Linked DNA regions of Drosophila melanogaster. The protein of the gene in region 3 interacts with the protein of the main gene of each other region in a pairwise test. Each region holds a gene or a part of one and is shown on either strand. Other genes may lie near its edges. The genes, in order: B-H1, pdm2, ara and CG15800.

The links.
Region 1: the proteins of ara (region 3) and B-H1 interact in a two-hybrid assay, tested with the Drosophila melanogaster proteins (one large-scale study listed by BioGRID).
Region 2: the proteins of ara (region 3) and pdm2 interact in a two-hybrid assay, tested with the Drosophila melanogaster proteins (one large-scale study listed by BioGRID).
Region 4: the proteins of ara (region 3) and CG15800 interact in a two-hybrid assay, tested with the Drosophila melanogaster proteins (one large-scale study listed by BioGRID).

The regions. Positions count from the first base shown.
Region 1 is NC_004354.4:17,393,721-17,404,417, reverse strand, and holds B-H1 (BarH1), read right to left. Parts: upstream 6,941-10,697; 5' UTR 6,725-6,940; coding exon 5,902-6,724; coding exon of another isoform or gene 5,897-5,901; intron 2,954-5,896; coding exon 2,725-2,953; intron 2,591-2,724; coding exon 2,008-2,590; 3' UTR 1,140-2,007; downstream 1-1,139. UniProt on the Drosophila melanogaster protein: B-H1 and B-H2 are regulated by members of the wg signaling pathway; wg and dpp. B-H1 and B-H2 are coexpressed and functionally required in R1 and R6 receptor cells and primary pigment cells for normal eye development.
Region 2 is NT_033779.5:12,653,865-12,661,739, reverse strand, and holds the start of pdm2 (POU domain protein 2), read right to left. Parts: upstream 4,576-7,875; 5' UTR 3,667-4,575; intron 1,489-3,666; 5' UTR 1,275-1,488; coding exon 809-1,274; intron 1-808. UniProt on the Drosophila melanogaster protein: DNA-binding regulatory protein implicated in early development. Involved in neuronal cell fate decision. May act as an octamer-dependent activator of transcription.
Region 3 is NT_037436.4:12,577,183-12,585,163, forward strand, and holds the start of ara (araucan), read left to right. Parts: upstream 1-3,489; 5' UTR 3,490-3,920; coding exon 3,921-3,971; intron 3,972-7,981. UniProt on the Drosophila melanogaster protein: Controls proneural and vein forming genes. Positive transcriptional controller of AC-SC (achaete-scute). May act as an activator that interacts with the transcriptional complex assembled on the AC and SC promoters and participates in transcription initiation.
Region 4 is NT_033778.4:23,788,675-23,794,797, forward strand, and holds CG15800 (uncharacterized protein), read right to left. Parts: upstream 2,554-6,123; 5' UTR 2,519-2,553; coding exon 2,045-2,518; 3' UTR 1,940-2,044; downstream 1-1,939. Other genes in the region: sona (sol narae), read right to left, coding at 3,322-3,393.

The DNA.
Region 1 (10,697 bases), on a different chromosome or scaffold from region 3:
AGATCGAGCGAACGGTACGTGCAGTTTGTGTTTTGTGTCATTTGTCTTTAATGAACGGTTGCCCGCTGGCCACCGTCGTGTTTTTGTTGTCATTTCATTGTCCTGCCAAGCGTCTCTTTTGTTTTAGGCCAACTGCAATTTAAACATTGCGGCCAATTTGCCGATGAAGGCGCAAAAACACAAACACAAGAAACTCGAAACCCAGAACACGCGTGCTGCCAGCAAAAACGCAGTGCAGGGGTGTATTGGAGTGCCCTAGAAATAAGGTCCACTCCGGAATACCCTATCAAAAAGGATACCTAGGTTTTTGAGACTAAATGCATCTATATATGAAAATGATAATATTTTATGTATCAAAAAGAGTGGCTTCAAATGAGGGGGAACATTCATAACATATATATTTAGATTAATATATAAGATTTCCTTAGTCCCCTCAAAGGTTTGTGTCTACTGTTTAACATTTTGATTATTTACTCAATAATAATAATACAACAGTATGTATGGGAAAGAAAACATAATTTTATGTTTAAAGTAGAAAGTATTGTAGTAGAAATTTAATGGTCCCTCATTATTGAGCCCCCTGATGCTTTTCAAATCTAGAATTGGCCCACCTTGACGGCCCCGTAATCCGTGGGCTCCATCTGGGATGTGCGGGGAGCCCCTTGGATTCAGTCAGCTGGTGCATCCTTGGTCCTTGGCCGGACTTCAAGGATCGTTTGCTGGGCCTTCGCCTGCAGCGCCGCTTGCATGCGAGCACGCAATGCCAAACATGGCCATAACTGCTCGAACTCGAGTCCCCTTGGCGAGGGACGCCCCTGGTTTTGGCCAACTGGTAACTGGCAACTGGCAGTAGGTAACTGGTAGCGGGTAGCTGGTAGCTGGTAACTGGTGGCCAACGGTGGCAGTTATTCAATATATCAACTTTTGGCCTAATAAATGCACTAATTGCGGTTAAATGCATTTTGCATGCAATTATTATCATTAGGGGTTGGCTCGCACGTCGTCATAAAACCCCCTTTCCCGCCACCCCTCCCCGCACACATCGTTTGTAAATTGTTTCTGTTGGTCATTATATTAATTGCCCCGGGACACGTCCAACCTCCCCCACTCCCAACGAAATCCCGCAGAACGATTGCTCTATTCTCACATTCTGTTATTTTTTATTTAGACAAAAAAATATGCGGTTAAATGTACTTTACATTTTACAGTTACAACGTTTATAGGTCTAGGCTACCGACAAAAAAAAAATTGTTTATTCGATAATACATTTCGTGGTTAGGCTTAACTATACAAAATTATTTTGCTTTTTTGGCTGCTAGTTTTTACAACATTTAAATAAATATTTGCTTAATTTTACTTCATTATCTTATATTGAAAAAAAAAAACTCTTTAAAAAACATTTCGAATAAGTTACTAAGAGCAAATCAAATAAATTAAGCACACACACAGATTCACAGGGATATTAATATATATATACACACGCAGGCACACACACACACAAGCGGGGCTTAAGGGGAGATTCAAAAACGCGAATTCTTGTGGATATTGATCTTTGACAAATGTTTTTTTTTTTAATATGCATGTTCCATTCAAATTTTCGGTTCCATGATTTTGTTTTGAATACTGAACTCATTTGTGCTGCTTTTTATGACCTTAAACAATAATTTGTTTAGATCGTAAGTTTATAAATGCCTCCAAATATATTTTGGTTAAATTTAAACAAAATACCTTTGTACTAAAGTTTGAACCATAAAAACGATGTTGTGATATGGTGCACGAATAATGCAACTGCTGATTCATCTAAATAACCTAAATGCCATGTAAACTTTTATGTTTTATGGAACAATAAAATCATCGATCCGACTGATTTACAAAATGAGTGATATGTAACTTAAATTCGTGAAACCAACTATGTAGTTTATGTATCCCCTTGGAAATCGCACTTTTGAGACCGCCCAAACCCGATGATTAGCACACGCACACAATCGCCGCACTCCGGCGTACCGCTCACACCTGGATCTGATCCTCGTCGTCCGACTGGGAACAGCTGTCAACGGATCGTCCTGGCGGACTGCCCGGATTCAGCGTTGGACTCGGCGTCGATGGTGGCCTTGGTGGCGGCGAGGCGGATGCGGAATGGGCCGGAATCGGTTTGACCAGGCCACTGGGCGGAGATCCTCCGCCCACCGAAGGTGGTGGCGCTACCGGATGCGGTCCGCCCGGATTGGCAGCGGAGGCAGCCGCAGCGGCACTCTGATAGTAGCTGCTCAGCGAGGACAGCGAACTGGAGGCGGACAGGTGGGAGAAGGGTGCCGGACCCACGCCCACCCCGACGCCCACTCCGACGGACGGAACGCCGGCGTATAGGTTGTAGGGCAGTGGCTTCTGCATGGCGGCCGCAGCGGCCGCTTGACGGTAATAGATGTCTATGTTCGTGTGGGGCGTGGCTCCGTGGGCGGCGCCGGCAGCGGCCGCATACGGCCAGGCGCCCAGGTAAGGCGATCCGCCGTAAAGTCGCTGAAAGGCCGCGAAGTTTCCAGCCTCTGCGAGGAGTTCCAGGCCCACTGCTGTTTGGCGCTTCCATTTGGTTCTGCAAAATGATAATAGATACCAAACTTTAGTATACTTTCAATAAGAATATATGTGTATAGATTTTATTGTATTTTCTTAAGTTCATCTTTGAAAACTAATACAAATTAAAAAATCATTAAAGTTAAAACCCACCTGCGGTTTTGGTACCAAGTTTTCACCTGGCAATCGCTCAGATCCAACTTGTGGGCCAGCTCCTGGCGCTCCTGAACGCTAAGGTACTTCTGCCGCTCGAAGGACTTCTCGAGCGTCTGCAGCTGGTGATCCGTGAAGGCGGTACGCGCCTTTCGCTGCTTCTTGCTCAGACCGCTCATGTCGCTGGTGGAGCCGCTCTTGACACTGTTGCCATCGTCATCTTTACCGCCTGAAAGAAAAGAGAATTTCAATTTTAGAAATATTAAGAAACTAAGGGCAAAAAGTCCATTATGTCTAATCTAATACCACATTTGGCAAAGTAGGATATGCGTAAAACTCCAAAACTTTTTATTATCATAAAATATGAAGTTTGTTTATAATACATACTATAATATTCACTTCCCCCTTTTAAACTTAAAACGAAGGTATATTAGTTACATTTCTATAAAACTTTAAATGCCTAAAAACTAGTTTTTAACATTTGCCGAGATGGTTTACCGAAAATCACTATTTGTTGGTGATTTGGTATGCCCATAAGGCTAATTCGATTTAGATCTCTGTGCGATCTATTAAAACAGTTGCAGATACAGTTAGAGGCTCGTTTATGGCCACGCAATTGCCGCTTCCGCTCACAAAGCGGTTCGTGTGTGTGTGAGTGTAATAAAAACGTGCCGCAAAATGTCTAAACTTGCCACAAAAAGCCGCAAGAGAGATAGGCAAGCTGACCAGGCCAAAGCACCCCTTTTTGCGAAAAGTGTTCTTGGCCAGAAAAGGCCGCTTTTCCACCTTTTCTGGCCAGCCATTTAGTACATAAAATTTATGTAAATTCAACCGATGGTGGTTACCCGATAAGCGAGAGCGAGTTTTTGGCCCATGGGCACGAGGGGGTTAAGGGGTTGACGCGGGCTAAGTAAACTCTCAAGCGTTAAATTATTTAAAGCGAAAACTTGCCAAGTGCCGCATTTAAATTTGGTCTAATAAGGCCTAGAAACGGGGAAATTAACAATCTTAGCATATTTTTGTTGTTTTAAGCATATAAATTTATCAGGAAGCAGACAAACAATAATAAAATCTTTTCAAGATTTTAATTTTGCACGATCCATTAAATAAGTGGACTCAATCTTTGTTATTGATAATGAGATACCAAGAAGTCAATATTATTTTATTTATTGAAAATCCAGCTATGCCTCTAATTGAACTTTGAAATATGAAGCAAATAAAGATGCATTGCTAATTATTTCTATTAATCATCGCTAATCAAGAGCTTATTTTGCCGCCAAGGCGAAAGTTGTTTACCATATAAAACGTAAACGATAAATGATTAATGGCAGCGATAAATGAGCGATAATGCCGCAATTGAATAAAATTAATTTGCAATTAAAGAAAATTACTCACGAATGTTGGCGCCGACTTGCTGAATTATCGATTTGCGGGCGATAATTTGTGGAGCGTTAAAAAAAAGGCAAAACCAAAAATCAAGAATTATGTGCCAAATAAAATTGGGCGACAGTGTTGTTAAAAAAAAACCTAATTTGTTTTTTTTTTTACAAATTTATAATTCAAATATAAGCTTTAAAAGTTAACTTTCCTATCTGATTTTATTATTATAATTATGATTTTTCATTAAATTTATAAATAAAATCTAGTGATCAATATTCATTTTGGTTTTTTTGTAACTGAAGCTGATCGCAATTGTGAAATTCCAATGAATTGACGGATTGCCGCCTTCCCTGCCCGCTGGCTGTCATCCCAAAAGAGCTGGCCGACGCGACTACCGTTTATAAAAGTGCAATTGGCAACAGGAAATTGCGGCAATAAATGGCACAAAACAGGGCCCAGATGGAGTGGAGCGCATGAGAAGCTGGCCAAAAGCGAAGTAAAACGAACCGAGTGGCGATGAGATGAGCAAACAGACTGCAACATTTTTTCGTTTGCTGCTGCCCGGCTGCCATTGCCATGGGGCGTCTATTAAAGCGGGTTAAATGCATTTTTATAACAATTTCCACAATTAAATGATTGCGAAGGGGGCAGGTGCGTGAGATAGGAGGAGGAAGCAGAGCGAGCGGCGAAGCGGGGAACAGTGAGTGCGATGTGTGTAATTATTTGAGATTTTTTCTGCGGCTGCGGCAGTTTTAAACTGCATTTTGTTGTTGCATTTCAGGCAGATCCTCTTCTTCCGCCAACCCCCCGCCCACTGCGAGCCACGCCTCCATTCTGCCATAATAGCTCTCAGATTCGCAGGTGCATGCCCCCAAGTTTGAGGAGGGGCGAGGAGGCAAGGGGACTTTAGAAGCTTCGCAATGACGGAAACAAAGCGTGAAAAAGTATTTTTTTTTTTCAACTAAAACCACAACAAATAGAAGCAACAAGAACGAGAATGTAAAATGGTCATGCAATAATTTTTACAGTTTGTTTTGCAAAGCGACATCGACGAGGGCCGCCGCCCCACCCCCGCGCTCCACACTTTAGCCCCCATTTCAGGCGCACGCTTCAATACAAAAGACTTAGGCAACGAACTTGACTGCTGCACAACGGACTTACTTATTTTTTACCTAATTGAATTACTTTTTCAATTGGCTATGATGAAATGCGTTTCACAACAGAACCATTAACACGATTTAAAGGGGAATTTGAGTAATTTTATTTTACGACTGCCTTTACACTCACTACATTTGAGAATTGGTTAAGTGCAAATATATTTAATATCACCTAAAGGGAATATGTTACTAAAACGCAATATCAATATCATTAATAAAAAATTTGCGTTCAAATTAAAAAATATTAAACTTATCAGATCTGCATGTTTTGTGTCTAGCTTTACAAAACAATCTGGACAACTGTTTAAAAAAAAAGGCAAGTGGTCGTAGAGTTGTAAAAATATCTGATATGTACTTTATAAGCTTAGCACCAGGCAGTGATAGCTTTATTTTAAAATGACTTGGATAATTTGAATATTGAATATTTTTTATCATAAGGCTCAACATTAATCAGATTTGTTGATAATTGGTTCTATTTCGACCCAATATTTGTTTATAAAACATTGCGAACTTGTTTTGAATGAAGAAAATTCCTGCTTGAAAATGCATTTTCGAGAATTAGCGAGAATGCTATACTGACCCACCACCCTCTAATGCCGCCAACACCCCACCCCCCGCATAGTACAGAGGCTCACCTCACCATTGCTACAAACGCTGTGATCGTCCATGTTGCCGCTGTCGCAGTCCTCGTTCTCCTCGTGGTAATCGCTGCTGTCGTCCAGATCGCCGCCCGCCGGTGGCGCCAGCCCCACCCCGCCATCCACTCCCCCGTCGACGGGTGGTGCGGCTACACCAGCAGCTGCAGCGGCAGCAGCGGCGGCTGCAGCAGCAGCTGCATTGTTGCGCGCAGCAGCCGCGGCAGCAGCAGCGGCATAGTGCTGTTGCATGGCCGCCGCATATTGAGCCACGTTTAACCCATTGCCGCCGGCGGTGGGTGGAAAGTGCCCCAGCTTGCCGTGCGGATGCATTAGCGCATGCGGATGTGTGTGCGGATGCGTGGGCGGATGTGGTTGTGGGTGGTGCAGGGCAGATGGCAGCACACCGACGCCAGCAACATTGGATGCCTCACAGTTATCGCCATTAATGTTGTTGTTGTTGTTGCTGTGAGCGGGACTGCTGCCGCCGCTGGAGCCCGAATTGTTGTTGTTGTTGTGGTGGTGCAACTGCTGGTGATGCTGCTGCTGCTTGTAGAAAGCGGCCGCCGCACTGCCCGCCAGAATGTCGTTGATCATGAAGCGGGACCGATTGGGCTTACCGATGCCCGAGGCGGTGGTGGTGCTGCCGCCGGAGGACATGGTGGTGGTGCTATGGATGCTGTGAGCCACCGCCGGTGGCTGCAGGCCGTAGTGGAGGTGGTGCTGGTGGTGCTGCTGCTGCAGCGTACTGAGGTGGTGGTGCAGCTGGGGATGCGCTGCGTTTGGCTCGCTGGGCGTTTGGGTGAGTATGCTCATCGAGTCTTTCATAGGACTTAGGGGGTTTCACTCTTTCTCCCTTTTCTTGCCGATTATTTATACGAATTATATTTGCTTTCAACACTTCACTAAAAAAATTCACATTCACTGGAGTTTCCTATAGATGTCAAGTTGTCTTCTATTTGTTTGTTTTTTTGTTTTCTTGGCCTTATCTCAACTTTTCACCCAGCGACGTCGTGAGCGGCTTGGCTGCCAAAACGAGACTGAACGTTTATGAAACGCACCTGCCCGATCCGCCGCTGCCAACGCTGCTGCCGACGCCGACTGCGGCTGAGGCTCGAGCGGCGGCTGTGGCAACAATTTTGCCACTTTGTCATAGGCGGTGGTTGGGCCGCATATGCTACCGAAGGCCGGAGGGGGATGGCCAGTCGCTCGCTTTCGCTGCCTCTCGCTTCCACGGCTCTCGCCGTCTCATCGGCTGTCACTCTCTCGCGCAGCGCCATGTTGCCGGCACCGTGGTGAATCCACCACGGCGTGGTGAAATAAAGTCTCTCCCCGGTTTCTCGGTTTTTATAGCACCAAATGTCGGTCAAACGCTCTTGAGCTCTTCAGGGCCTTGAAAAAGGCCTAAAATGGCGCTACGAGGAAGTTAGTTGGATCTGAGAGATGGAGACGATGCTACTGCATTACTATGTGAAGAGTACTCTTCTTTGTGAACAAAATATTATTCCAAAAATATTAACTCTGCTTTATGTTCACTGCTTTAACAATTAGACCATTAAGACATAAATTACCAAAACTTTTCAATTCCGAAATGTCAAAACATCTGTCTTTCCCATCACATAAGAATATTATAATACTTTTATATATATTCGCTTAGAAATCTGCGAATAACGTCAAGCCAGTAAACAATTTTATCAATCATGTTTTATCATTGATTTATTAAAAATAATCTTAGTCCCATTTGGCTTGACATATTTTAAGAGCTCCTTAAATGTGTTTGCTTTATATATTAGAACTTCAATTAACACCAAATTGTTCGATTTTTGAGTCGAAAAACCTTATACGCCCGACATTTGGGCGTCGCTTTTTTCGATTCCACGCTCTCAGACAACAAGATGGCAATTAAAATTTCACGCCAATAGCCCGGTGGTTAGGCTCACCTTTGGGTTGTTTCGGTGGCCACATGTTAGTCCAGGACTAATTGCAGGAAGGGAAGCGGAGCGGGATGAACAAATGCAATTTGTCGAGAGCGGCGGTTTCCGTTTGATTGATATTGATTCCGGTCGAGGAACTGAACCAACCTGGAGAGAACCATGAGCGGAAGGGGGAAAAGGTCAGGTGACCTGCGAAGGTCATTAGTGGCGGGGAAATTAGGGCGCCGGGGGCGGGGGTAAAGCGGACTGAAGCGCGCGCTTCAATTGCGGAGCGCATTAAAATAATTAGCGTCTGCCGGAGCATCAAATGCGAGGAAAAGTCAACCGAGTCCTTCGTCCTGATGACGGTTATTGCACTTAAATGCATATAATTGCCAGCCCAGTCGTATATCCTGCGGTCTGCGGTCGATTCGAGTTCGAACTGCCAATGCCAATTGAATGCTTAAAATAATTGCACTCGGCCAGCAATGTCAGCACTGAGAGAAGTTTAGTTTAGTATATTAAGTTAAAAACGAATTGGTTATAAAATATAATATTTAAATGAAGTAAGCCCAGAATTTGGCACTGAAAAAACCAAAAAATAAAGACAAAGACATAAGACAGAGACATAGGACCGAAAGGATACCCCCTTTTTTCTCAGTGCACATGCGAGAAATTATGAAAAAGAAATGTACAAATGCAGAAACCGCAATGCGCAGTTGTCCCAATGCCACACCCCCTTTGCCCCTCGATTACTGGACAGTTGCCAGCGAACTTGGACAGTTGGCAGCGTTTTTCCGGCCTCTTCTACGAACTGGCTAACAGTTGTCCATGTGCAGCCTTCTATCGCTCGGATACCTATCCACATATCCATATATCTATCTTTCGATCTACCTATCTGCGTATCTTGCCATCTGAAAGTAGCCTTAATTGGCCTAATGTCCACTCATTGAGTAGGACTGTTTGCACTGCAAATATCCGCAAAAGAATTCTGCATCAATGGAGATGCAAAGTTTTTAGAATAAGAGGCACAACAAGATAATATAATATGCAGAAAAATACATCAGGTATTCTTTTTCAGTTCCTTCTTTCATTTTGAAAATGTGCCCATATACAAATTCATAAGATTTCATTTGTTATATATCTTCCTCATATGTGCCTCCAATTTGAGCCACACCAACCCACATGCAGCACCAGCGATACCCAACTCCTGTCCAAGCTGATCCAAAAGTACGTCCATTTCCATTTCTGATCTGTTTCCGCAGAGTGGTGGTGAGCCTGCGGGGCCTGTGGAATCTTAATCGGCATCTTTGATATTATAATGTTCGTGTTACTGCGTGGACAAACGTAATAAAATAACTGATCGTTGTCGCTGATAAGTTAATTTACTTTTAATGTGCTGCCCTCGCCGAACCCTCGACATCCAGATCCAGATCCACATCCACATCCAGCGATCTTGCAACGTGGGGGTAAATGGGTCCGTCCGGAGGTGACAAAGGTTCTCGCTGGACCGATGAACCACTGGCCCTGTCCTCTGCCTCAAGATCGACTGACTTGCCAGGGCTTTTATCTTTATATTAGCCAATACCCTCTTGCTGCAAGGTTGTCTACTTTAATAATATCCTAAATCATAATATTTGCGCAATATATAATATATATTTCCTAAATCAATAAATTGAAGAACAGTTTCATTTTCACAAATTACAGTTTTTTTAGAAAGAGCTGTAACAAATATTTTACTTAAAATATTCTCATTTACTATGGAACAATTTTTAAATGCTTTAATCATAAATGTTTTTATCTATCAAACGATTTACCAAAGTCAAAGGGTATTTAAGCCTTCGTTACCCAACGTGTTGACTTGTTTTAAGTTTGTTTGCCCTGTTTTATTTGGCTCTTGTTTTTGTTGGTCGCGTGTGCCGTCGATGGCCAACGTTCTTGCCAAATGATTTGTCAACAACGTGGCCAACAAAGGTGTTCTCCTGCCCCGTAACCCCCGTAACCCCTTTAACCCCCACCAGCTGCTTAACCCCATGCCGCACGGCAATTTATCGCTGCTCCAGATCAGTCAGCATGCCAGCTACAACAGCAACAATAGCAACACAACTGCAGGATAAACATAAGCCCTGATTCCAATTCCGATGCCCCTCTGTGTCCCCCTTTTCCCCTTTTCATTTTCCGGAGCGGCGCTCGTTTTAAAAATTGATGTCGCCCCACTAAATGGATGCTATTTAAATTTTACTGCCTGCCTGCAGCTATAAATCCAATGGAGGATTTCGATCTGGATACCATAGGATCTCAAAGCGGGAAAAAGGGACTGAAATTCGACTTCGATTGGACCTCCCCCTTTTGGCACCTGTCCGGATTCGGACTTCACTCACTTTTTATGGCTCAGCTTAGGCTGGTCGACTAATCAACACCTCGCTGCGATCGCACTCTGATCTGATTTGGTTTGATTTGATATCTCAATCTGGATGAAAAGAGTAATCCCTTTGAGGAGGGGTAACTATAAAAACTTATCTGTTTTCATGAGGTTGATGGAAAATCTTTTCATTAAGGCCAATATCTTGTAAGTTCTTTTAAACACATACACATATACAGCGCTAATTTAAATGTAGCTTTGTTTATATAACCAATTGCTAACTATTCTTGTAAATTCATCATACATAAGATATCTGATCCAAGGCCTATTTTCCGACATCGTAATTATATTTACACTAATATTTTGAACTCGTGCCAAAACAAATGTGCCCCATCTCACTGATCCACTGTATCTTTGAAATTTTCCTGTCCAATTCGTAGATAAACTAATGATCCTTTCGTATACTTCGCTTATCTGCGGATGGGCCTCTTAATTAGGAGAGCAAGTTGGCTAAACGACGGACCAG
Region 2 (7,875 bases), on a different chromosome or scaffold from region 3:
CTTGTGGTTCTCCTTGTCCTTGTCCCTTAAGACGGATGAAGTGTTTGACAACCCTTTCAATCTTCATAAATGTTCGCACTCGTGGCACCACACTCTGTTGCAATATTAGCCCGGGTCTGGGTCCCTTGTGTCGCATCCTTTTTCTCGGCTCTATCAAGATGACGACGACCCCTTTGCCAATAAAAAATGAAATCTGTTTCGATGCATAAAAAATTGAAAATCCCATAAGCATGCGTTTGGCACGAGTTTTTCTTTGGCATACGGCGCTTCGCCCACTTTTTGAGGCCTGTTTTTTTTTCGGGCCGAAGACCATGAAAAATGGCCGTGCTCTTGTTAACACGTTGTAAATACCTCATTTTTCACTTAATGGGTTTTTAAATACACATATGCATTTGTGTGGATGCTGGGCGGTGGGCTGAAAAGGGTTAACTCCTTTATGGGGTTTTATTGACTCAGGCGGGGCTTGCAAGGTGGATAACTTACAGTCGTTTAAATGGAGACTGAGAATAGAAAATATTATAATATACTATATTTAAGCACTAAAATGCATTATTTTGATTAAGGGGTCCAAAGGTAGTGTTAAAATGAGCGGTGGAGTATAATATATACATTTTAGATTTCTTAAGTGCTACAATTAATAGAATAAATGAAGATATTTAGCTCTTAATAACGTGTACCATCTCCTAAAGGCTTTGGCAACTCGTAAAAAACATTTACAACATTTTCATAATTTAAGAATACCTATGCATTTGCTTATAATATGGCCTTATAATATATGGCCATTCCGATGAGAAAAAGGTCAACTCACCTGAATTGGCTGGTGCTTGCTGGTGGTTCATGGGATGGCAGCTAGGCCTCTCTGGCGGCGACTCCATGAATTCCTGCTTGACTTGTATCTGCGGCAGGCGTAGCAATCCCTCAAAAGCCCGCTCGCTGGTGGGTGGAACTGGTGGGCAGTTGTCTTTAGGGTTAAAGCCATTCAAATGGCCAACGTTAGCGGCATAATTAGCCGGCAGTTGCAGTTGATCGTCGTTCAGAGTGGCTGAAACGCCTTGGCCAGTAATTTGAACATTAACACCTGCTGCCGATGTTGCAGCAGCAAGGCAATGAGTTGCTGCTGTCGGCGAAGTCAGCAACATGGTTGCTGTTGCTGCTGCTGCTGCAGTTGCGGCTGCTTTTGCTGTTGCTGCTGCTGCTGCTGTCTCTGTTGCTGTTGTGCTCAAGTGTTGATGATGGGAATTGTTGGCAAGTGTTGTTGCCAGCAGTAATGGCATAGTTGTTGCTGCTGCTGCTGATGCTGCTGCTCTTGTTGCCGCTGTTGCGTTGCAGTTCGTCAGCAGCAAATTGCGTCGCTTTGATTTATGGCCAACTCAACTGCTCCTTGCTGCCTGTGGCGACTTGTTTGCCGCTCCGGTTGCTGCCTCAGATTATGATATTGACCCATGGACCGCTGGCGATATGTATTCCTCCTTCTGCCTCCTTTGCTGCCTGCAAATGGGTTGATAATTAAAAGTGTCTTCTTCGGCTGAAAGCCTAATTTGCTGTTAACTGCACTTTAAAAAGCTGTTATTAAATACATAGAGCGCTGTGATCTTTACGACTCGATAGCGGAAGTAATTGATTTTTCCCTTAAAATAACTGACCCATCCACATTCCTGTACACGTGACTTTTCACGTTACAGGTGGAAACAGTGGATTTGTTTGAAATCGAACGGATGTTTGTATACCTTATAACTGAGATTAATTAGTTTAGTTTATTAACTGGCTCATGAGTATATTGCATTGTCAGCCCATTCTGCGATTACAAGTTTGTATTTTGATAAAAAAATATATAAGGGTAAAAGTTTAAAAGTTAATATTCTCTTCTAAAAGGTAAATGTAAAGTAAGTTACTGATTAGAAGTTTTACTGTACCTAGCATTGAATGAAAATGTTAATATGTGAGAAACTATATCATTCAGTTAAATAATTACAGAAATTCCATACCACTCGAAAGTAAACATGTCATAAAAGTACATATCGCAATTTATATAGTTTAAATGTTTGCTCTTTTAAATTCGTTTATTGAGCAGTCCAAACATTTCTCTAAATTTTCCCATGGCCTGTCGAATCAGCTCCCACAAGTGAAAAGTGGTTGTATACAACTTTACAGCAGTAGACACCATAAAAGGCACTAAAACCTAAACTTTGTATTATTATGCAAACAAAAAATGGGAGAATGAAAATGGGCACATTTACCAAATGTGGTTTGAAACGAAATTGTTGTAAATTGAAAACAAATTGAAGTCAAATGAGATAAGGAGTGGGTGGGTGGGTGTCGAAAAATCACGGCAAAAGGCGATGAAATCAAAGGAAATAGAAATGGGAAATTAAACTACAAGCGCAACGATCAAATGCCCCGAACAACAAGTCAACTTGGCCAGATAAGATACGGTGCTGAAAAGTGCAAGTGCGTTTATGGAAATGGTTATTTACATACATTACCAAACGGGTTTATGTACATATGAGCCACGAAGAGGCGGGTCGGGGCAACTAACATTAATGGCACTTGTAAACAAATCAATTGAGTTGTCAGTATCGACGGCAAATTGGCCGCAACCAAAGTGCCACACGAAGATTGTTTATCAATTTTGCCAGTCGGTAAATTATGTTCTTTGCATGTCAGCAACCAATTGCCAGGAATCGATATATCTGCCGGTATGATCAAAGCGAACGCCGACTAAATGCAGTCACTTATTCCTCGGTGCTACTTTCAATAATTCCCAATCGGCACGGTAATTCCTTATTGGGCCGACAATATCGGGGCTTTCGCTATTTTTGTTTAACTTCATCTTGTTTTAAAATTAAACACAATTGCTTACTCCAATTGGAAACGTATCGCCGATCATATAATACCGAACATTGCCATTGTGTTTGTCTTCAATTTGGAATTTGTGTTTTCATAATTTTCTATTGGGTGTACACGGTTCGGTTGTAAAGATACGAGGGAACTTAGTTCGATGATGTGATTTGCCTGACTTTCGGTTGAGAAATTGTTTGTCGTGATTATCGATCGAATCATTGCCAGAAGTGGAATTGTAAAAAACCCATAAAAATATATATGTGGCACATCTAAGATAGGGTACACAAATCACAGAAGGTTTATGAAAAATATATGGAATGGAACAAATTTAGAAAAAGTTATTAAACTATCCTTTAAATCAAATACTATATTCAATATATATATATATATATTGCCTCATTTTGAAGATAATTGCTTGTTATTAATACATTTTGCATCTTAATTTGATCTAACCTTAAGATTTTCCATTGTTAAAGATTTGACCAGAACATGGTCACAATTTTGTTATGATTAGCTAAAGCCCGACCAAGATCTCTATGATGGATTCAGTTCGCCCGTCCAACTACCATAGTCAGCCATATCGGGACACTTGTTGGCCCTCAAACACATATGGCCAATTAAGGACGCTGAAATACGCGCAGACACTTGGGAAAGCTCATTAGGAATCTGACAGGCCAGAAGAAACAGTTCTGCCCTCTCTCTCTCTCTTGCGGCATCTGTATCATCCATCTGGCTGATCCATCGATCGCATTGAGTGTGGGCGTTACAAGACAAGCTCCTTGACACACTCAGTGGGTACAAAAGAAAAAAAAGAGTTAAACTCACTTGGGCTGGAAGATGGCGCACCTCCTTACTGGTTTTTCCTCTACTGGTTTTCGCCTGCTGTCACGAATTATAATTTAATTGTTTACTTTGCCACACTTTTATAAATTGTAATTGCCAACGAGAATGGCGACAGCTTCACGCCCTTTCTGCATTTTCTGTGGGCCGTCGAGGTGAGGTGAGGTGATCTCTGTCTTTTGGGACAATTCTCCGAGACACGCTTTTTGATTGACTTCCGACAAACGACTGACTTAAAAAAACGCGCAAGGAGATATGGGCAAAAAGTAAAAAGTGAAAAAAAAGCAGACTAAAGAAAAGAGAAAGAGCAAAAAGAAGCAAAGTTCGCGACGACTTCCGACGACGTCCGACGTATCCACAAAATGTCAAGCGAGTACAAAAAATACTTTTTTTTTATAGAAGATGTTGGAGAGAGTGAGTGAGTGTGAGTGTGCCAGTGTATTGGTCTGTTTGCGATGTGCCTCTGTGTGTGTGTGTGTGTCTGTGGGGGTGGGGAAAGGGAGCCATAAAACAGGTGGAGGGGGTGGTGCGTGGGTGTTTTGGGGCGTTTGACTTCGTTTTTCTTTCTCTTGCTTCTTTTTTTTTACAGGAGGTTTTAAAATGAAAAGCTTGTATTGTGTGGGTGGAAAATAGTACTGCATATGTGTGTGTGAGTGTTCTATATATGTATATATGGGTGGGTGGCTCTTATCGGATTCCGAATTATGTATGTATTGACTGCCGCTGCTTCTGTTCGTTGAGGGAAGAAATAATATGGGGGCTCCTAAGTTGATTTGTAGTTTAGAGCGGCATGAAAATTTCCTCTTGAAGGGAATTGAGAAGGAGAAGAGGAGTCAGGCTCATACGAGTAACCGAATAAGGGTATACAAGTAATTCAGTTTGCAAAATATAATAAAATATATTAAAATTCTTATTGATTCAAGTACTGTTTCTCATCATATGATTCATTATTTATTCGGCACAAGATACAAGATTTTTTGATTTTTTTATGGCCGCTTATATACCAAACCGTTTTCTTTCTTTTATAAAAATAATAAGTTTTATAAAATAAAACATATAATACTAAAGCAGATGATTTTATGGGCAAAACAGATTTAATTCCTTTCAAAATCAATGTTCCGACGGCATTGCACTTGCCAGAAATCACAACACAACTCGCGTTACGCATACGCCCCGTGGACAAGTCGGAATATCAGCGAATGAAAAATGAAAAAAATTGACATTGCAATGATGGCAGAACCGAGAATTATTCGCCGTGCTGTCAAAATGCGAATGTCAAGGCAAAAAACGAACCAAATGCAGACAGATAGCCAACAGAATCCGCTGAACGGCGGCAAAAGGCAAAAAGCGATAAACGCATAAATTAAAATAATTACAAGAGGCGTCCTCAGATTATTGTTGTTGCTGTCACGCACACACAGCTAGTTGAAAAAATAAACAAGAAAAGTCGCGAGGACGACAACCGACAATCGGCCAACGGAGTGGCAACTGAAAAACTGCAATTGAATGCAACTTGACCAGGCCAAAGCATCTAGAAGAAGAGCAGTACTAGCTGAATAAATGGAAGAAGAAGCACCACAAGCAACTGTAGTAACCATACACTTACAAAAATTATATAATATATATTCCAGTCATTTTCTATTGTACCATTTTAATATTTAACAGAAATAAACCTTAAATTCTATATTTTATCTTAACAAATATTCACAAACACGTCTTGGTATAACTTAATTTGGTTTTTATTGTTACTCTAAATAGAATATATTATAATTTATACATTTATATATAAAGGTTCTAAGCGTATTTTAAATACATTTCTTTTACAATTATAAGTAAATTTATAATGTTAATAGGCTTTTAATGAAATTGTATTATAACCAATATATAAAACTTTTCTAAGTGTAGAATCAGTTGATTTTTCTCGGCAACTTGGGATCCACATTGTTGCAACAACGTAGTTGTTGCCGCTGTTGTTGCTGTTGATTTTATTCAAAATGGTTTGTTTATGCCTGAACAGAAAGAGAACGCAAGAGAGAGAAAGTGCGGAGGGAGAGGTAGAAAATCTTGGGGAAATATATCCAACAAGCGCGCTCTCTCCCGCACAAACACACTCACCCAAAGTGGGCAGCCGGCAGCCAATCGGCATGGAGCTTTGGCGCTCTCTTGCGGCGCATGCTCGCTCTTCGTGGGGAGCTCTCTCCATTTCGCCGTTGGCCATTGTGTGTGCATGTGCGCGAATTCGCCGCGGCGTCCAGATGCTGCGGGTGAAAAAAAGAGAGCGAGAGGGCTTTTACCTTTTGACTGCTAATTTCCGTTCATTAAAGTTGGCAGTAGCTTGGCTCGCTCACTATTCTATATGTTCCACTCCCCCATGCCGCCCCCCCTCAGTAGTGAGTCCTTAAAGATATTTCGCCTTGGCCGCAGCTTTAATTTCATTGATTAGCGCCGAGGAAATTCCCTTCTTGGCCCTTTTATTTTTGGTTTGTCACTTCTATTCACTTGTCTGCCCGTCTGCTTGTGTTTTGGTTCCTCTGCAGCCTCCTTTACATCCTCTTTTCCACTATTCTTGTTTTGTAAGCATTTAAGTTGTCGCTGTTTCGAGATGCTTAAATCCAACTAATCGATGGGTTTCGTCTGAAAATGGTTTAGTTTGTGGGGGTAGGTTCTGAAGAGTATGACCCAACTATTCACGGAGTAACTATTTGGTAATCAAAAGATAGTTATGAAATAAAGAAGTTGGGGAAGAGTAAAACTGATGCGAGCGTACTTTTTGAAGATTTTACTTGCAGCACTTGTGTGTACAATAGGTGTACGTTCAAAAAACCTATATAAGGATAATTGGTAAATAATAAAAACTAAAAAATTCTTCTTATAAGCAGTAAAAATGTAATTTTCTTTATTGATATGAAAAAAATATTGTTTTTGTAGCTCTAATTCATATGTTCTCAGGTGTTTACTTGAATATTTAAAAAATGTTATTTTTACCATATGCAGAACCTAACTAACACGCTCGAAAAAGTAGACAACCACCTCTTGAACTGTGCCCTTAGTTCTTCCATTTGGTATTCCACATTCCGTATACGCCCCATAAAACTTGAAAAAATCGCCCAGCCCCAAAATTTCATCTGCCTTCCCTGGCTCATTTTTCATATTGAAGGGCGAGCACCTAAGGACCAACCAACAAAGCTAAGCTGACGGGTGCCTAAGTTATGGTTCCTGCCATATCATCCCCGCGTTCTGTGGAAACTTTTTAGAATTTTGCACTTTTCCTTTTTTTTTTGTGTCGTGTGCTCTTACATATCGCAAACATTTCCTGTCTCTTTTTATTTACATTACCCACCGAGGACGAGGCGACATAAAAGTTGAAAGTTTCCCATGATGTTTATGTGTATATAAATGCTTGCGGGCGGTATTTGTTGTATATAGGGAAACAAAGAGGAGAAATATTTTTTTTCCTTTCCTAAGGCTGTATTTCAACGGTATTCTTTTCGTATTTTTCGTTTCGCAGTTGTGACTTTTCATTTTTCATATGCTGACTGCCTCACGAGCAAACACACACATGCAGGCGGCACACACTTACACCAACACGCAAACGGTCCTTTTTCTCTTTCTCTCTGGGGCTCTTAGTTTTCCATCTCCCTTGGCTTTCCTACGTTGCCCAAGTAAATGGCTTTTGCATTGTAAAATGTTGCATACATTTTCCTCTACTTTGCCTTCGACGTGTACATATGTATATTGTACAAATATATAACCACGTATGGCTGGCATTTACCGTTATACACGGGTGAAGCAGGACAAAAGAAGCTCACACACACAAGGCTCGCCCTCTCACTCGCTCACCCAGTCCTGCCCATGGTATATTTTAAAATTTATGAAAAATAATATTTTTCCATCTCTCCACGCTCGCACACACACACACACACACTTGTGTATATATAGGAGCCCTGAAGGAGTCCTGGGCCATAAGGCGCACAATCAGAATACAATGGCTGCCTAGGGCGCCCAGAGGGGGTGGTGCTGTATATACCACCGCCTTGAGGGGGCGGGTAGGTGCAGGGCAATATGGCACAGTTGGCTTCGCTTGCATTTACGTACAGAGTTGCAGGATAGAGGTGCTTAAGACAGGGTTGCCAGTCTAATAGAAAAGAGTAATGGCGGGATGTTTCTATATTTCGTTTTTATATTTGTTATGTA
Region 3 (7,981 bases):
CCTTCCCACGAAGATCCCCGCCAAACCGAACCAAACCGAAACTCGACAGGCGTCAACGGCGAGTGTGTGTTGTGACAGTTTTTGCCGGCGAATATAATAAAAATAAAAATATATATTTCATTTTCCACGGCGTTTGGGTTTGAGTTTTGGGTTCTGGTGTGGAATGGAATGGATTCATTGCCGTTGCCATTTGCCGGCTATTTTGAAATTGATATATGCATAAACCGCAGTGACAGATGTTGCAATTAAAACGGCATAAAACGGTGGAGGAAATGCCACCACCAAAACTGCTATATCCTTGATCGAAATATATATATATTTGTGTATATACATATGTATGTTTTATCGAGTGGCGTGAAAAGTGCGCGCTGTCAGTTTGACTGGCGGACAGCTCAATTGTCAAAATAGGTTTTAAGTGCCGTCGACTGATTTGTAAGTGAAGTGCACTTCTTGCCACCGAAAGTGGCAACTGCCAATTGTGCGATTTCAGTCCGCAGTCTCGGATCGACGAGGACTTTTTCGAGAATTCTTGCCACTCGATTCTCGAACTCAGAGGGTGGTCAGTGTGTGGCTGCCGCAAATGGAAACGCCCCATGTGGTTGCCACTCGTCGTCGTCTGGTGTGTACCATCATGCTGACCCATTGATTGATTGCATTTGGCCCGTCGCTGCCACGCCCCCCGCCGCCACTCCGCCCACAGACCCCCGGCCACCCCCTCTTGCGTCCTTCCCTTTTCGTCCGGCGATTGCAAAAGCGCCACTCGTAAAACGCGCAACACAGCAAATATTGTACTTAACACCCGGAGGGGCACTTGGAACGGACTCTACGCTCTTGTTGCCGCCGCTGCACTCGAAAAAAATACGTGCTCCCATTTAGAATAAATATTTTTAAAAGGCCTTTTGCTAAGAAAACTACCTTAGAAATATTAGGAATAGGCTCAATTTTTAATACTTATATTACGAACTTTTAGAAGCACACTTTATATAGCTTAATTATTTTATGGCATAATTAAATAATATGTACATTGAAAAATATGCATTATATATTTATAAATTATGTATGAAATTTATAAACAACCTTTAGTTTTTCATATTTAATCTATTATTTTTCCAATTTTAAAAGCAAACTTACTAATGTTTACCAATAAATTCTATACACCTTTATCGAGGTTCCTGTAAGTGATCCCCGATTTTGGCCAAGTGTGCGACTGCCGCTGGGTTTTGCCTTTGGCCTCGTCATGACTTGGCTTCCCTTGGAATTAATTCACATTTGGGTTTTGGTGGGGGCAACAGCTTTGGTCATTTGTTGCTTTCAGCTAACACGCTGCTCTCATTTTCCGGCGCTGCTGGGCCGCGGTGGGTGGGGTGCCACCACCCCCAGTACCACCCATATCCACTCACCATAGCCACTCCATACTGCTCTATTCTACCCACACTTCCAGCCACACCACGTGGATCGTTTCATCCACACACATATATCTTATGCGGAGCGAGGTGAGGACACGCCCAGACCTTATGGCGCAATTCCGTCGTGTAAGTCGCACTTTTTCGGTTTTATAGGTTAATTTGCTTTTATTACATTATCATAAAAATAAACAAACGACAAAAAAAAGAAGAAGAGAAGAACAGGAGAACAAACAAAAACACGCTGCAAACAAGCTTGCCAACATCCGCGGCACCCGCAAAAACATTTGAGGTTTACCTCATCTCCCCCATCACATCGCATCACATCCACGGCGGACTCTCCATTTCCGGAATGCGTGTCCTCGACCGGAGAATTCATCCTGCCGGAGAATCGTAATCGTAAAAAATAGATCGTAAAGCGGATGTCCAAATATGTTAGTGCGCATTAATAGCAAAAACTTTTTTCCAAATCCAGCATTTTCACGGGCTCATGTGCAATATGCGGGTACCTTTTACACACTAAACTTATGGAATTTTATAAATATAGTTAAAAGTTCATAATAAATATGGTGTAAGTGAAAAAGTGGGCCATTCCTTGCCCTAAATTTGACAGTATAATATATATTTTTTATGATTTCTTAAAAGACCGAACTTTCTGCAAAACACACGAGGTTTAAGTTATCTCTAAAAATATCTTAGAAAAATCAATTTTTTTTTTCAATTAATGTATCATAGTGCAGAAACATACGTTGCATGCAATTTATCAAAAAGAAAATTAGGTCAGGCTTTTCTTGTTTTTCGGATACACGTCAAGTGCTATTTAATTGCAATTAAAATTGCTTATGTTCTAGAAGATATTTTAAGTGGCGAAATTAAATTGGCTAGCATATTTAAGTAGCATAACAATTAGTTTAGTTAGATAATTAAAGTATTTTAATTGCCATAAATATTGTTCGCCAAAGTATCGCAAATGTTGAAAATACTTAAATGATCTGTGTCTGTTAAAAAGCAATTGCAGTAAAAAAATGCAATACACATTTTATAAAAAATTTAAAATGTCTCAAAGTTAATATATGTTATGATTACTAATAACATAACCTAAGCTAAGTAAAAATCTGGTTGATATTTAAAAATCCCAAGAATTAATGGTATGATTGCCTGTTTGAGTAAGGATATTAATTCCTTCCATAAAAAGTTAAAATCTTGTTGATAATTTAAGTAACTGGTATCCAAGTGGAATGATATTTAAACAAAGATCGCTGGAAATGTTTCATTTAAACCCGAATTAGGAGAGATTAATTAGTGAGGATCGATAATGGGAGTTAACTAAAGTGCAATGCAGCGATAAAGATAATGACAGACGATAAATACAGTGCGAGTGTCTTGGAATTTGCTGATCTTATTAACGCTTTTGTGTCGCCACTTTTGGCCATCGCAGCACTTTGTTGCCACTTCCAGCTGGCGATCGCTGGTGGCGCACTTCCAGTCGATGGGCGCGCAATTGTGAAAAGTAAACAAACAAATGACTAGCCAAACAAAACAAATGGGCGTTGCCCGGGAATTGTGGGTAAAACAAGAGACCATCGACAGTTGTGAAAATGCGTCCCGCTCCCTACCCACTTCCTCTCCCTTCACCATCCGCTCATTTCATTTGTATTTTCTTTTCTTTGCTTTCTTTCGCCTGGCGACCTCGCACCTGTCCATTAAATCAGCCAGCCGAAGCTCATGCAGCCCTACGATTGGTGGTTGCGCTGGCCTCACTTCCAGTGAGCCGCGAATACGAGTCACTGGCGGGGAATCGGATTGGAATTGCGGAGAGAGCGACCGGCCAAATGCCACCACCAACACCAGACAAAACCGGAGAACGGTGGGCGTTGCTCTAGAGTGCTTACACTTCCAGTCTGCCGACTCCGTTATTCTTGTTGCTCGCTCCAAGGCGAGCGGCATTCCGTTTCTCTTTCGATGGGGGGAGGCAGCATATTGTTGTCCCGCTTCCGCGCCAACTGCAGCGGAATGCGCCCCAACAGCGCAGCAACAACAACAGCAACAGCAGCAGCAACACGGCCAACAGCAACGGCATTCGCAACCAGTTCGTGTTCGAACGTTATAAGGTGCACATCTGAAAGGGAGCGTGTGCTGAAGCGCCGCGTTTTTGCCGTCGATATTTCGTCGATTTTTCGTTGCCGCCGCGTTTTGCGAGTGCTGTTAGCCAGAAAAAAAAATAAAATATATATAAACAAAAATCCACCACAAGTGACAGCTGCAACTGCAAATACCAAACAAATCCACGAGATACTTTCGGTTGGCCCAATGTCGTTATGGTCGTTATCGCCAGTGCCCACTGTGAACAGACCCAATCGAAACTGAGCTGTTAAACCCCCGATAAGCACATCATTTGATGTAGCAGCTTCACCGTATATCCTTCAGCAGACTGCCCACGAGCGAGAGAGAGAGAGAGAGAGAGAGAGAGAGTATCTTAAGACTAGGTCTTATATAGTCGTATAGTCATATAGCGAAATGGCTGCCTACACACAATTCGGATACGGAGGCTTTCCGTCGGCCTCGCAGGTGGGTCCTCTAATTAACTAAATTTGATCTAGATGTATATACTATATGATGGCTATTCATATTCATTAAGTAGCAAGAGATCTCAAGATAACTAGAGGAATGAAAATGTTTATTAACTGCAGATATGGGAACCTATTTAGATACAATATTATTCATACGACTGATATAATCAACTGATTATTGTAATTATGATTGCCTTAAAGATTCATAATTTTTATGTTTGGAGGTATTAAAAACAGAGGTCACAAGCAAAAAGCGTTGTAAAATCATATTTTTTCATATACATATTTAATTTTTCTATTTATAATCACAACTATCTTTTCTGGAGTGCGTTCCATCATTAAAACTGAACCCGTTATCTGAATATTTTTTCTAAAATTTTTTTCCTAAAAAAGCTTGGTTGGGTTTAAATTCTATTTGTGTGTTTTTTAAGCAATCCTTACCACCAACTTTCATCTGAGTACTTCCACCGACTCCAGTCAAAGTTATCCGATTATTTGATCTTGAGGACCCACTATAGGGCAAAACCGCTAAAAGTCTTTGATTGTAGCGCTTTTGGACTTTTCACTAAGCAGCAAAAACAGCTGCTTGAGGCAAACTTTTTCCATGTTTATGACAGTAAATTGGTGGCAGGCCAGCAAAAAACCATAATAAATCAGATGGCTGATAAATGGCCTGAGAAAAAGCCACTCCGAGGAATCAGGCGTTTTTGTCAACCTTCAAAATTCACACAAAAAACGATTCGGCGTTTTAAAGATGTTGCACAAAATTGCGCGGCTTGCAGGTGCAACTAAAATATTTGTAAAATATTGTGATAAATTACAAAAGTTGTAGAAGCTTTCGAAAGGCCTAGAGTAAATTAAATTTCCTATTGATTGCGTTTGCCTGGGCTAAACTTTAATTTCCCAGGCCATAATACTTGGTTACCAATTGCCTGGTTCTTCCTCCAAAGAACTCTGGCGTCTTTCCCATTTCGGACCACACGAGCCCAATTAACTAAAGTCGAAAACGAAAGCAAAAAAAAAAAAAAAAAACTAAAGAAAAAGGAAAAGAAAAAAGGGAAAAGCCTTGGCAATCAGAAGGCCAAGACGATGGGAGGTGCCGATTGAGGCACGCTCAGGTGAAACTGTTGAAAAGTCAATAAAATTCAATTGCGGCGATCGTAAATCATAAAATTCATAACCGTAAAGTGACAGCTGAGGGCAGGCTCTGGGAATGCCCTCCTGGCTACGTGAGGAGCATCCATTGAATCTGGAGATGGCAGATAGGATAGCATCCGAATCCCAACGAACACGATCGATGGACCAATGACTTGGCTCCACTCTGATCTACTTTACATTGGCTTCGTTTTGGGGAGTGAGGAGAATGAGCGGAGTGCGGCTCCAAGTGGCGCTTATAGTCCGGTGCTATCAACTTGGTCATCTGGAGGAGATTGTCGGGGGAGGCACTCGGATGCAGAATCGCGGTAGCCTGGCCGCTTTGGTGGACCCACGAGATACAAGCTGCGATTAGATCGCTGCGTTTGCGATTCACAGAAATTTCCAAAGCCAGTGCAACTCAGAAGTTGGGTATCTGGCATTGGGCATTGGGTACTGGTTACTGGTTACTGGTTACTGCTCACTGGGCACACACATGGCCAGCAGATCTTATCTGCGCACTGTCGCCTGCCAGTCGTCGTCGTCGTCTGCATCCTCCAACTGCGAACAACGAAAGTTCCACGTTCCATCCGCAGACGTGGCCAATTCACATGGCCCACTGGACCACTGGCGCTTCCTCCGAGAGCGGAAAGGTACTGCTGGAATGGAGTCCTCTACCTCATGAATAATGCATTCGCTCAAGGAGCTGAGGAATCTGGCAGGCGCATAGAGCTCCCTATATGGTGTCGCCTATCAGATTAGTTGTCATAATTCTCATATTGTTGCGTTTGCCGAGAAACTCTGGGAACGCGTTGCCTCCTTTCGATCGCTGAACATTCCCATACAGAATCGAGCGAAATGTATTTGCTTTTTACTAATTAAAATCACGCGGCACGGTGGAATACAAAAAAAAAAGTCAAAAAAGTAAAACAACTGAATCATTCATTTGTAAAATTTTGATAAATGGCTGTGAGTTTTCACATTTTTTTTTTCGATGTCCCTATATATAGTCAGCGGTCTTGGCCTCGAAATTCTATTATTTGTGCGTTTCAGCACGACTCAAAAAAAAATATGTTTTTCCTTTATTAATTATGATCGGACTTGAGCGACCTTCTAGTAGATCACTCACCTGCTGAATTTCGAGGGGATCAATCTCGAATCGAATCGATCGCATCTGATAATTATAAAATAATATGCATGTGCTGCGATTTTCGGGCGAAGAAGATGGTTCTATTGTCAGATTATGTTAATGACGCGGAATAATTATGCATTCTGCTGGCTGCATTTAAGTTTTGACCGCGAATTCGGCCACAGAAGCCGTGTTAGCCGGGCTAAAATTGTTGCTGCCCAGATATTATGACCTTTTGCTGGGCACTTCGATCAATTTGTAGCTGTCCAACGGGCGGAGCACTCAACTTAATTATGGGTTCGGTGCGTCGATATTTTCGCCCAGAAGACTAAAGTCTTCAGATTCCAGACCTTAAGACTTCCAGACTTCAAACTTCAAGACTTCCAGACTTCAAACTTCCAGACTTCAGTTTGCAGATTGCAGACTGTGGGGAAATTGAAGCAGTCCGCTCGTTTTGCAGATTGCCCGCGGTAATTTTCAGAAGCCTTCGCCAGCATGTTGCCCGACTCCATCTCCATCTGCATCAATTCCATGCATCCCATATCCACATCGATCTTGTGGATGGGTCCGAAAAAGTCGGTCTGGTCTGGTGCTGGGACCTATAGGCGTCGGCTGCCACACCCTCATTGATTTCTGGCATTTTTTAAAATGCCCCCAAGAGAACTGGCTTCGTGGGCTTGGCACATTTTGCATATTAATTGCCAAGTGAGTGGCGCATGCCATAGGCGAGGTTCCACTGTGTAAAAGATGGAGGACATCACATCAGGCTGCCCCCGTTGCCGATCCGTCGCACTTGGAATCGATTTGCTGGGTAATTGATCTGGCCGCCATTGCAGCGAAGTTCGCGAATCCCGAACTGCACTCCCATCCGATCCAATCCACTCCATTGATTAAGGGAACTTAATCGCCGCGGGATTATGAATCCCGTCCAGCTTCTGCGCTTTCCTGCCAGTGGCATTGATTGTGTGTTAACACCATATTCGCTTACATGTTATCGATGCATCTTGTAATGGGTGCCTACTGTCGATTTTTCGAATTAAATTCGCAATTACCCAGCGATTCAGGCGGATTTTGTGTCTTCAGTAGGAGGATGGCCTGCAAAATGGTACATTGATCTGGGGGATGGGTAAACAACATTGCCGGACATCAATATTTATGAAGTTTCCAGTACGGCAGTTAGCATGACTTACTCGGCATTATGATGCAGAAAATTAGCCATTATACATGGACGTGCGTTTCCTGTGCCGCGTCGATTGGAGGCGAGTCATCCCATTCCCGGGCAGGTTTCCATCCTCGCAGCTAGTTGACATCTAGTTTATGGCGCTGTTCAAGGATAGTTTAGATAATTATTAAATTACTTCTCAATTTTCTAAGTAATACGGACAAAGTGTTGGTACTTAAGAGAATCTGTTTATAAAGTCTTCACTTTTCTTTGGTTTTTTTTTTTACTTTTCAATAATCGGAGCTTTATATATATTTAAAAATTGAAAAAAAAAACAGTAGTATTCAAGTGTTTAAATCTCGTAATATAAAAGCACGAAATAAGTTACCAAAATCATTTGCTTGGAACATTCTTTAGATCCATCAATGAAAACTATCTTATCATTTGAGCAGCGCAATAAACTAATTCATTGGCGAAATGTTTTGAGATAAACACTGTCAGCTTTAGGGTCTGCGTTTTGTGTTCGAAATGAAATATTTTCTTCAATGATTGGGGGGGTTTCTCGGAAGCCCCACCTCTGCGA
Region 4 (6,123 bases), on a different chromosome or scaffold from region 3:
TAGCTCGAGTTGTCATTCGATTCGATCGCCATTAAGCTGCTGTTTACCCAGCTATTTGTCCAAGCTAAAGTTTGATTTTATTTTCGGTTTTCGCCGAGTGCAATGACGGATGTTGTGAAATTTGCGCTGTTTGTAATTTGTATGGCTAGCTGTGTTGCTGCTGCTTGATTTGGATTTGGATTTTACTGGGGCTGCTGGTGCTGCTGGTGCTGCTGCGCGGGCAATTACTGAAATTGTGCGAGATTACTCATACGCCCGGTGTGCGCGCTACGCTATAACCGGCATTGCGACGACTTTAGCTTCGATGGCGGCGGCGGCGACCAAGTGCAATCAGAGTCAAGTCAAAGTAAAAGGTGTAGCCGCCATATTAACGCAAAAAGTGTGCTTCAAATTGGCTCTGGTTGAGGCCAATACACTGTTTATGGCCAACACTGTTTGTTGTGCAATTGTTTTCCCCGCGTTTTTATCAGCCGGTCAAAGTCAACAGCGGCAGACGCTCGAAAGAGTGTCAATCGACCTTTCGCGCAGTCAGTCAAATACAAAGAAATGATTTTCAAGATTTGTTTGGCACTTCGTTTGGGCTTTTGCAAATGGATGGATGGCAGCGGCAGCCAGCAAATTGCAAACTCGTCGGCGTTCGCCTCTTTTCAATCCATTTCCTTGGATATTTGGGTGTGTTGACCTTGTCGCCTCGGCTGACAGGCGGCGGAAATTAGCAACCGCTTCTGTCGGCGTTAAATTTTCTGGTTTTAACTTCTCTCGCTTTTGGAAATTTTGTATTTATGCCAGCGATTAACAAAGTGTGAAAAGTTCAGGGTGTTACGAAACCTCCGGAATGAGCTGCGTCTAATCGGAATGGCAAATTTGAGTGATTTTTTTTTGTCTGGCAATTGGGTGAATATGGCGGATCGAATGCTAAAAATATTCACTTCAATGGCAATTTCGTTTAAAGTAAGACTAAAGTGGAATTGATTTAATACACCCATTTTATTTATCATCTTTTAAAGAATCTCTGCAATATCTACCTTTATCGCTTGGATTATCAATTAAGATCTTTGCATTTTTGTACGCTGTCTATGCGTTTCCATTGCGATTGCATAATCTCTTAAACAACCGACAATTACTCATTCACTGACAATCGACCGATTTTCCTGTAGCTCCACGCACACAAGTAACTATATATATAAAAACAGCGGGGAGAACGTGACCCGAGAACCCGAACTCAAAAATGATTAAATAGAAATAAAGCAAATCTCAAACCGTGACACAGAGCAGGCAGCTGTAGACAAAAAGCGAAAGAGCCGATCAGTAGCTAAACAAAAAATAAATAAATAAATAACAAAATACGAGTCCAGGAAACAACAACAAATCGTGCGGCTAACCATTCTGGATTGCACAATTAAAGGCTTAATTTATTTGGCCGGCAATTGATAGGCCGCAAACATTTAGATATCTCATATTCCTTTGCATTTCTGACAGCACATAAAGCAAAAATGCAAACCTACAAAACTGCCAACTGCCGACTGCTGACTCACTCGAATCCGAATCGATATTCTGGTGGTGTTTTGCATGAACCAACCTCAGTTCGTTTTTTACATCACTCTTTTCATGCTCGGCTGGGATTTGAAGGGCCTCGTCAAAGTTGTTGTTACTTGGGCTGTTTTAGTCGCTTTTGTTGTTGCTGGTGTAGCGTGTCAACTTTAATTGCAGTGGAAAACGGAGACGAAGTCGTTTATGGGGCACTTTTTTATGCCAGCACTTTGGCAAGGCTAGGGGGTCGATGTCTCCGCCAACACGAACTTGCTCCAAAATCGGAACCCAAAATATCATGGTCTATATTTAAGTGTTTCCAAAAAAAAAAAGTCAAGGGAACGTGAAAATAAAATGTGGGTTCTCGTGCTAAATTTGAATATTTCATTGTAATAGGTTACGAAAACGGAAAGTTACTACTATTATTATTAATATTTTTTATTCTTTGAATTTCAGCAGTTTTGAATACAGCCAAGAGACAATTTTAGCCCAAACGTTCCTTTTACAAATCACCCTATTCCTTTTGAATTTGCTCAATGAAATGATCCTGGAATCTTGGGATCTTCTCCACGTAACCGCTGAACTGCGTCTCCGGCTCTCGGCTGCTGAGGAAGACGAGTTTCTGGGCACAGAGCTTGTAGAGCCAAGGGATGTCCAAGTAGTTGCAGCCCTCCATGATTTTGCAAATGCTATCGATTTCCACGCGCAGGAACTCCTTGTCCCAATCGGAGATCTGCAGCTCAATCTCCTCGGCCGGAAGAGGATCTTTGCTGTCCACCCAGGCGGGCTCTTCGTGTTTCTCATGGTACTCAGCCCACAGCAAGATCTTCAGCAGGACATTGCTGTGTATACCGTGCAGCGGCAGGACGAAGTCCTCATCCTCTGGGACCTGGCCAACGCGGCACATCTCCCGGATCACCAAGGATTTCTCGAGCAGAGCCAGATTTACGCTTATCGTACGGCCATCCCTTGTCTCGAATCGCACCATTCTTGAACCGAATTTCGAATAACAAATTAAGAGCTTCGGATCAGAAAGTCAGGGCCTACTGCTTGCAATCAATACGAACTAAACCACAAACTTGTGCCTACTCTACCTCTGGAAATTGTTCAAATTGGAGTTCAATATCGAAATAAACCACCATCTGCTGTAATCACAAAGTTTCCAAGCGACCAACCAAAGCCATAACCTCCGCAACAAAGGCAGTGACAATGAAAGAGAAAAGTGTAAAGAAGGCGGCTAGCAAATGGCCAACGACAGCAGAATAATAAAATAAAAGTTAGTAAACAAACGGAGGGAGGGACAGTCTGAAATTCACTTGAAATAATTACAAGAACTTTTTACGTCCGACCTTGGCCATAATTTTGCTGGCCAAGCTTTTTCTCGAAAACGAAAAGCAAAAAAAAAACTCGAGACAAAAGCTGTGCTGTGTGTCAATGAGATACGTACCCATACAGGCGCACTCAGAAACCTGGCCCACAATGCAAACACACAATGCCAATGTTTTATTTCTAACGACGACTCTCTTCGGCACTGCGCTCTGCTCTGTTTTGTAATTTAATTAATATACAAAAAATGTTTTGTATTTCTCGAAATGCTAATTACGCACAATGCGAATGACAATGAAACCGCCGACTGGCGGCCATTTGTTGTTCGTTTTTTTTTTTTTTTGCCCCTTTTTATCCGTTAACAGCTGGCTTTATGGCATTATAAGAGCCCAAAGGTTATTTATATCGCACCGATTGATTGATGAGTTCTTGCACTTGGCATTGATCATATCTGCGGGTACTTACATCTGGCAGGCCCTGGCATATTGTGCTGCTGACCAGGAGGAGCGCTGTGAAAAGGACCAGTGGTGAGGACATCTTACTGCTTCGGCCGCCTAGGGTGCTAATATAATCCTTAAAAATGCTTAAACTGCAAAGAGACGAAGGGGAAACGAAAATTAAATAAATTAAATATTAATTATTATTAGCCACATCCCATTTGCCAATATATTCACGCAATGGGCCAGCATGCAAAGTATTTATTTCCCAAATAATGGTCTTACCACCTCACATGACCATTAGTTCCCTGCCCACAAACCCGTCCTGGTCATGCTCGAATGGACAGCACTGTGTTTGCAACGCGAGTACAGTTAGCATCTGTTGTTGCAACTCAAACGCCGCTTGCTGCTTCAATTAATATTTACTTTTAGTTTTGTAGAAAGAAACCTAGTTTTCTGGCCCGCTGGCCGAGTAATTAATTATTGCATAAGGCCAAGAAGCAGCCTCGAGGCATAAAACAATCTTGTGCTGCCCTGTTGATTGCTGTTTGTGCTGCCGTTGCAGTTGCAGTTGCACATCCGCCCGCCATCGAATGCGGCTAATTGTCAATAATGATGCAGCGATGCGTGGCGAGGGGGTAACAGCATCCATCCAACCTTTTGACAAACCAACCAAGAAAACAAACAGAACTGACCAGCGGCAACAAAGGCAGCAACAGCAGCAGCAGCAGCAACAGCCGCTTCACGTTGCCGTGTCGCAACTTCTCAGCGACATTTACGACAAATTGCATGACATTTTATATCCCAAAGGTTTTGCACAATTTGCATGCAACGTGCTGCAAGATCCGAACTGCCGTGGCCCACTTCGAGTGAAAGAAAGTCTCGCCGGCGAATCGATCATCATCAATCGTAATGAAATGTTCGGCTGAGCAATTGCCAAATGTGGGTGGTACCCAGCCCAAGGCCAATGCCCCAAGACACTTGCTCATGGATTGGCGAAAATTGTAGGTAAGCGCAAGGAAAGTTCACTTTTTCCTATTTCAGCCGGCGGGCAGGCAAAAATGAGAAAATGGAATCGATATTTTGAGTAAACATGGAAAGCGCTTCAAAACAAAAGACTTAGAACACGAACTTGAGCTTAGAAGCATGACAAGGAAGCTTGCAAGCCACGTTCAAAGATGTGTAGCTACAAATAAGTGTAAAATCTTCCAAATAATATGAAAACCATTTTGGCCAAAGGTCAACCGACTTTTGCCACCATGTAATGGCCGTCAGAAGTCCATAAGAAAAGCATCAATGCTAACAGAAAGTGCCAGTTGGCAACCTTCGCGGCGAGACTTTCACCCAAAAGCAAAAGTGAATCAAGAGCATTGAAAAGTTTTAACTGAATCGCAACTAATGTGCATTGGCTGCACGCCAAATTATCAGGAAATTCATGCGCACATTTAACAGCGATGGTGATAAAGTAAAAAACCAAAACGTCACGGCTTTTAGGTGACCGCGAACAATCTGGTTGATATTCCGATTCACATATTACAATACACCACACCAAATCAGTTGGAATAGAGAAACAGTTATGAGGCAAGATGGCAACTCGATTTGGTCTATCATTTGCATAATTAAGGCCGATTAGGGTCGAATCATTTGCCATATGTGCGCATGCATAAATCTAAATCTGAGCCAGCTCAAGGTTACGGCTATGGCAAAACTGTTTTTTGACTTGAACTCGGCTTGCATAATTCCCGTTCATATTTTTTATATAATTACGGGCCAATGAAAAAGTATATAGAAAACAAAACAAAAAGATACGCATCATCAAATGTCAACCGAACAGCTTCAAACAGAAGCTGGCCGAAAAGTGTTTGGAAATGGAAGTGGGAATGGAACTGTGCCAAAAGCCCCCGAAAGCCGCCAAAAACCGAAAAGCAAGTTGCATTGTCAGCTTCCGCATAATTATGCCGCCTGGCCGAATATGTTTTTCTTTCCCCTTCCCCCCCCCCCTCGTTTTTTGTGGGTCTTGTGCCTTTTACCATAAAGTCAGCGTCTGTTTCGGTTTATGGGAATTTTTTGTGTGCTATTGCTGGCTGCTTTTAACTTTTGCTTTCTTAATGATTTGCTGACACAACCCGCCGAGTGCGACTCTGTTGTAAGCTCGTTGTCTCGATCTTTTTGTAGGGCGTCAGCGTTTTAGTTTAAATTGACATTGACAGTTGTTGGCCACCTCTCTCCACCATCCTCTGCCAGCGGTGTGTCAGACAAACAGCTGCTTCTGTTGGCCGATAAGCATCGGGGATTGGGGGAACCTGTGTCAGCACCTGAGTCAGTAGCACACCATTTGGCTTGATAATGAACCCATTTCCCGCATATATCGCTCGTCTGTCTGACAGCGACATTGGCTGCGAGAAGAACTGGAACCACAGGGCGTATGAGTGACGCAGCCAACCCATTTCCCAGACAGACGCAGAAAAAATATGTGGATCACACATAAATCGGCCAAAATGTGACATAACAAAGTTCAACTGCGAACATTTTGCCCAGGAGATAATAAATTTAGCCGATACTTCGCCGACAATTCCGCTGCAAGTTGCAGACAGCGATCAAGTGGCGGTGGGGATTACGTAAAGTGTCTGTGACCTGAACTTTTTGCATTTGTATGCCTGTTGGCTGGAAAAGGGCGAGCGAATCTTTTGGCCATTGTTTTATAATGATAAAACAATGAATGCGGTCTGGGAACCTGCACCTTGAGTCGCTAGTCCGCTGTTGAAAGCACGTCAACGCGAGTTGAGCTGAAGAAAAAACAGCTGTGCAAATTTGGCTAATGGCGAACAAA